2 linked regions of the Nothobranchius furzeri genome follow. The protein of the gene in region 1 interacts with the protein of each later gene in a biochemical or structural test. Links are inferred from orthologs where the notes say so. Each region holds a gene or a part of one and is shown on either strand. Other genes may lie near its edges.

What was found.
Region 2: the proteins of tcerg1b (region 1) and splicing factor U2AF 65 kDa subunit form a complex in vitro, tested with the Homo sapiens proteins (2 studies listed by BioGRID). The link is inferred for Nothobranchius furzeri from reciprocal best matches to the Homo sapiens genes TCERG1 and U2AF2.

What each region holds. Positions count from the first base shown.
Region 1 is NC_091750.1:56,768,497-56,772,033, reverse strand, and holds the end of tcerg1b (transcription elongation regulator 1), read left to right. Parts: intron 1-50; coding exon 51-215; intron 216-880; coding exon 881-1,063; intron 1,064-1,154; coding exon 1,155-1,334; intron 1,335-1,468; coding exon 1,469-1,552; intron 1,553-1,648; coding exon 1,649-1,749; intron 1,750-1,948; coding exon 1,949-2,150; 3' UTR 2,151-2,658; downstream 2,659-3,537. Other genes in the region: prenylcysteine oxidase-like, read left to right, coding at 3,280-3,388. UniProt on the Homo sapiens protein: Transcription factor that binds RNA polymerase II and inhibits the elongation of transcripts from target promoters. Regulates transcription elongation in a TATA box-dependent manner.
Region 2 is NC_091745.1:76,203,415-76,208,565, forward strand, and holds the start of splicing factor U2AF 65 kDa subunit, read left to right. Parts: upstream 1-2,147; 5' UTR 2,148-2,369; coding exon 2,370-2,418; intron 2,419-3,486; coding exon 3,487-3,628; intron 3,629-5,151. Other genes in the region: ccdc106a (coiled-coil domain-containing protein 106a), read left to right, coding at 56-372. UniProt on the Homo sapiens protein: Plays a role in pre-mRNA splicing and 3'-end processing. By recruiting PRPF19 and the PRP19C/Prp19 complex/NTC/Nineteen complex to the RNA polymerase II C-terminal domain (CTD), and thereby pre-mRNA, may couple transcription to splicing.

The DNA.
Region 1 (3,537 bases):
CTGTTTTCATTTGGAAATGATTCATAATGGAGTTCTTTGTCCTGTTTCAGGTGAAACAAGACTTCTACGACCTCCTGAGCGAGCAGCACATAGAGGGAAGTCAGCGATGGAGCAAAGTGAAGGATAGAGTAGAGACGGATCCACGGTACAAGGCTGTAGAGAGTTCTGCACTCAGAGAAGAACTTTTTAAGCAGTTCTTGGAAAAACAAGCCAAGGTAGGATCTGATAAAAGGGCGAAGCCCTCGTCCTGCAATTCCACTGGCATGTACGCGGCGCGTAACATCAGCGAAGAGTAATACTCGGCTAGCTCCGCCGTCGTAGTCGACGGGTGTGTTTCCAGTGACGTGTCCCAGAAGCGTAGTGTCGAGTTGCTTCGGATCCCTATATTAATATGCTACGCTTCCAGAACATGTCAAGCTCGGCAGCTCAGATTGGGCCGGACAGGAAGTTGCACACAAAAGCAGTGTGAAACTTCCAGGAACTTTCAAAATAATGTTGCTTTACTTGTACAAAAAAGTACATCATTACCTGTGACACCTCCAAGGCCAAAGTAAAAATAACGGGTTTGTGCTGCCATCTTTCTTCTGAACTGCCGAAATCACGCGTGAGCTCTGGTGATATAATGACCTGCGTGGAACGCATTTGCTGCCAGTGCGCATCTGAAATGCTTCCTGTAGGAGAGACACACTGCTGAGCTAGCAGGAAACGCACGTCTGTTACGTTAAGCGCCGCTAACGCGTCTGGTGGAAAGCCCGGGTTGATTTGACTAAAAAAAGCTGTTCTGTTACTCCTGGAACAATTTTGTAAAACCGTTTGTGTGTCCTGCTCTGCTACCAGTACCAAGTGCAAACTCAAAAAGTCGACATGTATTTTCTCACAGAATGTGGACATTGACAAGGAGCGAGAGCTGGAGCGGCAGGCTCGTATCGAAGCCAGCCTCCGGGAGAGGGAGCGGGAGGTCCAGAAGGCCAGATCGGAACAAACCAAAGAGATCGACCGAGAAAGGGAGCAGCACAAGAGGGAGGAGGCCATCCAGAATTTCAAAGCTCTCATGTCCGATATGGTGAGATGCTCCTCGGTTTCTGTTGTTGCCTGGTGGAGGATTCTGTAGTCGCAACAAAAAGACCCAATCCACGTTTCTGTTGTCTCCTCAGGTACGTTCTTCAGATGCAGCGTGGTCAGATACTCGCCGCAACCTGCGGAAGGACCACCGCTGGGAGTCTGCCTCCCTTCTGGAGAGAGAGGAGAAGGAGAAGCTGTTTAATGAACACGTGGAAGCACTGGCCAAGAAGAAGAAGGAGCAGTTCAGACAGCTGCTGGATGAGACCATCACGGTGAGAAGTAAAACAAAAACATGTAAAAACATTTCAAAAGGCTGAGTGACTCGTTTAGTCAGCTTCAGTTCCTCACACATGCATGAGCTTGGTTATAGTTTATAAGTGTGTGTGTGTGTGTGCGCGCGTTATAGATCACTTTGACAACTACATGGAAGGAAGTGAAGAAGGTCATCAAGGACGACCCACGATGTATTAAATTTTCCTCCAGTGACCGAGTAAGACTATTTTTGTAGGTCGTGAACTTTTCTAAGTAGAGTGAACCTTACCATGTAGCAACTCCTGTCATTTGGATGTGTTTGTTGTTTTTGTAGAAGAGGCAGCGAGAGTTTGAAGACTACATCAAGGACAAATACATCACCGCCAAGGCCGACTTCAGAACTCTACTAAAGGAGACTAAATTCATCACATACAGGTCTGTGCATCCATCAGGCGATTTGGAAAAGAAGTTGAACCCTTTTAAGATTGTGTTGTTGCCCCAAATGTATTATTCGAGCCGAGAAATGGTCCAAGTTGCATCCTGTTACTTTAAAACGTCTGTTTAAAAGACGAGAGGAAGTTTCCCTGTTACGGAGGTTGTTCTGATCACCTCTGACGTCTTGTTCGTCTTCCAGGTCAAGAAAGCTGATCCAGGAGTCAGAGCAGCATCTGAAAGATGTGGAGAAGATCCTTCAGAATGACAAACGCTATCTGGTTCTGGACTGTGTCCCAGAGGAACGCAGGAAGCTCATCATGTTCTACATTGAAGATTTGGACCGCCGTGGCCCGCCGCCTCCACCCACTGCCTCAGAGCCAACCCGACGCTCTACAAAGTGACCAACCTCAACAACTTCATGGCCAATGCCCCTCCCTGCCCTCCCTTTGGTCAGAGCATGATGTCTCCTCAGCACCCCCTGAACCCCAGCCTCCAGGCTGGCTTTACAGTGTTACTGCTGAGGGTTCACTTGGTTAGAGATGAACGGTTAAGGTCTCTGTCATGTCACCTTTTAGCCCTTCTTTTCAAGAAACGGCAGACAAGAGGTTTACCTGGTGGCCCATGACCTTTGACACATATTAGAGGGAGGCAAAGTGATGAGGCTGTTGTTTGAACAGTCACACAGATGTAAGATATCTGATGTAAATGAAGATGTGTGGGTGTGTATGGTGCACGCACGTTTAAATATGTGCATTTGTTAAAGGCGTCCTTAAAGCCTTACAGCTCCACTGTGCCAGTCACTGTTTCTGATGGCTCAGTGTGAATGTTAGTTTCTGCTCAGTGGTTTATTCCAGCGTCGCTGCAGTTTTTCTGTTAAATGAAATAAAAGCATCTTCCACTGTTTTTCAATACGGTTTATTGTGTTGTCATTTGGCACAGTGATACATTTACCAGTTTATGTAAACATTGCATTGACTGTAAAATGCACCACTAAATAATAAAATGCAAAAACGTACCGAGAGTATTCATACAAAGAAGCGTTTACTGTGCCTGCAGGGCAGGCAGATGTTTGAATCACGTGGTGTCGGCGGAAGTTATTGATCGTTCGTTTTAGGGCTGCGCTCATTTTATACAGCTTCACTAAATAGAAGGACGAGGCTTCACCTTAAAATGTGCGGTTTGATAAGTGAAACTATGCATTCTGTATATAATTATGTTCAAGGTAACTTGACAATGAGTAAAAAATACAATGGTCATACCTTGGTCTAAGTACAGACTCCGCCTACACGGCTCATCGCTAAGTGCCCCGTGGTATAAAAAGTGTAGACCCCACTGAAATTGTTCTGCATCATCAAACCCATCAGCTAACCTTTAGAGCTTCATCTTGTTAAATTCACTTTTTGTTTGTTATTGTCGTCAGTTGAAACCTATCTATGTGCAGTTTTTAGTTATTTTTAAGCGTATGGAGGACTGGAGCTAACGGGAACCTAACGTAGCTAACCTCTTTCAGTAAAGGTAGTTGTAGCCGCCATGGGCGGCTTCCAGCTCTTGGTCTTCGCAGTTGTTGCAACAATAGTTTGGTCGGCTGCTGGAGAACCAGAGGCATTCCATGTTGATGGAGCTCCGCCCTCAAAAATTGGTAAAATGAGTTGCACGTTTATTTAAAAACACATGAAAGCAAAGAAGCTAAATCAAGCTTATGCTAGCGAGCAAGATGCGGCGTTCAGGGTCTCGTTATTTCGCTTTGTTTAGCAGAAACTGCATTCCTGCTAGATGTCGGGGTGTTTC
Region 2 (5,151 bases), on another chromosome or scaffold:
CCAAATTTCATTGGTTATGACTGAAATAATCACTTTTCCATATTTTTGTTTTCAGTAAAAGATGCAGCTGGAGTGCTGTTTCGGTATAAGAAGATACTGCTCACATACCAGCGTCTCAAAAATATGTCCAAAGCCTTTCAAATTCACGGAGTCGATCGCAACACCGTGGCCTCTACCACACCCATTGCTGAGCTGCTTCTAGTGGCGCCAGAGAAAGTGGTCGAGGTGGGGGAGTTTGACCCGTCCAAGGAAAAACTGCTGGACTACGCCAGGCGCTGCTACATTGCTCTGGATGAAGAGACACTCAGCAGAGTGCAGGCATTAAAGAAGAATAACCTTCTGCTTCCCATCTCCTACAGGTTTAGGCACTGAGTTAAGAGAAAACGGTTCTGCTGAAGGCAGCTCTCAAATGACTAAAGTACAACTGAGATGCTTTACTTTATGAGTGACATTTGACTTCTGACATAATCTATCAACACTTTCTTGTTTGTCTGACAAATGTTAAATAAAACATTGGGTACCACTTGTGTCTGGAAGGAGAAAGGAGGGTCTTACAATTGAGAGCAATATCTTTTTGGTGTCATTTCAGATGATTAACTAGGAAAGTTTTTTTTTTCTATAATTGTGGAAAACGCTCCTTTTACCAGTAACTGGTTCACCCACGTTGCTCAACTGTGTATTTAGTAGAGTGAACATAAACATTTTAATTTTAATTATTCCTTTTATAAACATTTTTCTCAGTTTAAAGCCAGTTCACTCACTACTGTGATTTTTACAGCTTTTAAAAGTTCACATATTAATGTTCCTATTACATTGTGTGATGTATTGAAATCCACCTGTAAGCTTTTTACTTTATTTTTTCTGTTGTGAACTTAATGTTTATTTAAAAAAATCCCTGTTAATAGATTAAATCTTCATTACAGTTTTTTCTTGCCTTAATCAGAATTTGTATGTTCTTGTAATAAGAGAAACATTCAAATTCCCCTTACCGTTTCATTAATTTCATTTTAAAAAACTATTAAAACAAATCACTTGCAGTATTTTGTGGTACAGATGCACTTTTGAGAGCATGGCACATCTGAAAATAAAATTTATTTTCATTTTTAAATCAATTTAAACAGAATGTGATGACATTCTAGGTAACATTGTGATTGATGCAATTTGCTTTTCTGACTGCATAACTTGTTCCACTGAAGCCTTCCTTCTAAACAGTTTTGGATTATGTGACTAGGTGTCTAAATAGAACCTTTTGTAAACTATGACTGTCTTTTGCCACAAAGCGAACATTTTCTTGTGAAAATCATTGAACGTACACATGTTTTACATTTTGAGAATTAACTAAATTAGATTGACAGTAACTGTTTTCACTGTCTGAAACTGTTTTCACTCCCAAGAATAACACCAGTGAAATATCACTAAAGCAATTATGTTCCTACAAAAATGTGAGTTTTATCAGTAAAATTCAACACTACCCCTCACAGAGGTGAGAATGCAAATGATTCATTCAAAGTACGTAAAATAGTACAATAAAATTCTTGTTTTCTTAAAACGCGTTTTTCTAAAGGTCATTATTTTCAGCATATACATGTGGTCTTGTGACACATAAGCTGTTGTCTGCCTTATTATGACTTGATAAATACACATTAATATGTGCTGAATGTGATTTTTTGAGTGTCTATTTAAAATTTTAAACAATAGTGTGGTCACTAAATCAAAAGTACTTGTAAACTTTCAGTTTACCAGTTTGCAACAGCTGATAAGTTTTTTGCCAGGACGCAATAATCTGGAGAGAATGAATAAAGTGTCTTATGGTGATCGATTTGACGGACAGGGTTGAAGCTCTTATTCTTTAAACGGAAATTTAGCAAGCATCAACTTCCGGTGTCAGGGGCTACTTGCTTAAGGGAGCAAAAGAAGCGGGCGTACCGAAATCTTTGTTGATTCATGGACTCTTAGATTTCTTGATAGCGTATATTTTTGGTTTATAGAGTTATGCAAGTGCTCCTCGTGGGCTAGTGGTCCTCTTGGATTTGCATCTTGCTTGGGGGAAACTCATTAATTCGGCACTCGTAACGGGCCTTTTCTTCTGGTCTTAGCTAATGTTAGCAGGCTAGCACGAGCACGTTTTTGTTTCTTAAGATTTTTCTCTTTTACGTTGTAAAATATACCACACTGCTAATTTGTAAACCCCTTTTTAACTTTTGATATTTTACTGTCACCAAAGGTGTTACCAGAGGCGAACTAACTAAAGCGGTGTAGGCGAATAGTATTGGTATTTTAAAGTGTTGTTCACCTTGTTGCTAGCTTAAGCTAGCTTCCGCCGACTGAACAACGCATCCCCTGAAAGCGTAACAGGCTTCAACCCAGAAATGTCGGACTACGACGAATTCGAAAGACAGCTATCTGAAAATAAACAAGGTAAATAAAACATTTTTATATAAAATATAAAGAAAAACACTCGAATGGAGTTGAATAGTCGCCATTGGATTTACTGTCCGTGGGTATGTCTATTTACAGGGGTTGGCTCATTATTAGGACGTAGCCTTAAAACATCTAACGTGCGAACTAATTCAGACTAACATTTTTTATTTTTTCCCTCTAGTGTCAATGTCTATGGAAGCGGCAAGCTACGTTTGACAATTGATAAATTCATTGTAAAAGTTAAAAAGTAAAGCTGGGCCTGACTAAAACATGGTGCTCGTCGTCCTACGAGGAGTACTTTACATTCATTTGGTAGTGGTGTAGTTGACAGGGAACACTAAAGTGCTGTTTGCTGATTTGTTATTACATCTCATTTCAGAATAAGTCAATTGCGTCTTAAACAAACGCTAATTTAGCGACTTGACCTAAAAAGATCTTTGCAATCAGGGCCGCTTGGTTGTCGTACAGACAACGAGCTAAATGTTGTAACTTTTACATTTAGCTAGTAATAACATCAAATTGTAGACATTATCATCTACTATTAATAATAAAAAGTAATATTTACTAATTGTAAGGTTTTCGATTGTTTTTTAATTATGTTGTTTGAGCCATAATTAGTAACATTTCTAGAATGATTTTAGTAGTTTAGAGTTGTCACGATGATTAGCAAATTAATTATATTTAGTTTATTATAAAAACACAAGAGGGTATTTTTGTACAATTATTTTGGCAGTAATTGATTATAATGCAAAGATGAAATGTGTATTTTAAGATATTTCCCAACACCTTTTGTACCCTAATATGTCCAACCTGCCCACGCACTTGTTATTTTAGATGTAACACAACAATGACAATACCAGGTGCTCTTAGGGTTTAGTTGTTCACTGAGTAATTGTAAGTTTCCATTTTGTTGCTGTATATTATTGTAATTATCCCAATTTCCACCCAAAACAAAATAACTTTCCTGCCTTTAGGAGATACAAGCTTTGACTTCGTATTTTCATATCTGGGCATTCTATAAATGTCAGGCACTTCTGTTGGTTTACAAGATCTTTATCCCTGCAGCTGAAAGGGACAAGGAGAACCGTCATCACCGTCGGTCCTCGTCCCGCAGTCGTAGCAGAGAGAGGAAAAGGAGGAGCAGAGACAGGGACAGACGCAGCAGGGACCGCCGTGGAGACAGTAAGGAGCGGAGACACCGGCGCAGGTTTGTAGCAGTTTATGATGGCGACAACAAACTGTAAAACCTTTATCCTGTCATGAAATTTAAACTGACACAGTGACCACTACAGTCAGATATGAGACGTGTTGATGAAGCATATAAATAGCTACTGGTGCTTGTGCAAAAGTCGGTATTTAAAGTGATATGACTACATATCTCTAAAGTACAGCACATGTCTGGAGTTTGTTTTAATTCACTAATTTATACAAAAAAAAACATTTTTTTTTCTTTGCTCAACAGAAAACAATTATAACACTAGTTTGTCACTTGAATAAATGCACAGGGGCACAGAAAATGAATGTGTTTTAAGTTAAAGATGAAAAGGTCTCTAATTATTCTGGTCAAGAACTCAAACAAGGTGGTATTTCTGCAGTGTTTTCTCTGTATTTTATTTTCACTCTGCTCTTAACTCTTAATTTGGATGTTACTTGAAAAATCGCTTAGTTACTGTTTAATACAGGGTTTTGAACGGTTATTTTTGTCTATTTTCCCCAAAACACATAGCAACAGCTGCTAATAGGGTTGTCACGGTATGAAAATTTAACCTCACGGTTATTGTGACCAAAATTATCACGGTTTTCGGTATTATCGCTGTATTTTTTAAACGGTGTTGCATATGTTCAGAAAGCATTGATAGTCCTGTTCTACACAAACTGAAATAGTTCTGAAAAGGTTTAACAGTGTTTATTAAACCTAAAATAACACAAAGTCTTAGCAAAAGTGCAACTTTTCACAAGTAAAGGAACAAATAGCTTCTTTTTCTGGAACATGTTACAGTAGTCAGTGCAGGTTTAAATTATACAAATCCAAACATTCAAACCATAAACAATATGTAAACAAATCAAAGAAACACCACTTGTTTTCTCATATACTTGTTTTCTTCATTATCAAAATGAAAATCTAAAACTCCAGTCCACACTTGACTTGAGCACTGTACAAGTCAACCTTAAAAAATATGTATTTAAAATAAATAGCCACTTTAAACAAATTACTAAAATAACTACTACACTGTGTAATCAAATCCAAATGTTCAAGTATAAATGGCATTGAATAAGTAAACAAATCAATGACAAGGAACTAATTGTATATTTCTCTTCATCATCAACAAATAAGATGCTTCATCCAGCAACAGGGTGTCCGTGACACGGTTTAAATGCTGGCAGAGGACGCTGCGGCTGCAGTATATAGTGACTCGTTGCATTCTCCCTCAACCAAAAGTCCTCACGTCATGCATTTAAGCTAAAACGCTAATGTTAACTTACCTTGCACTGGCTGTAGAGACGTGGGTGATGGTCACGCAGATGTGCCATTAGATTCGAAGTGTTGCTGCCTTTTGCAGACACTTGTTTCCTGCACGTTCTGCAAACGGGATAGCCGTCTTCTATTAACTGTCCCTCAGCATTTTTCAGAAATCCAAAATATGCCCATACTTCCGATTTAGTCTTCTTTGAGGGCTGATGGATGTCCTGGGCGCTGCCGTCTCCTCCTTCGGCCATTATTTCAGCTTC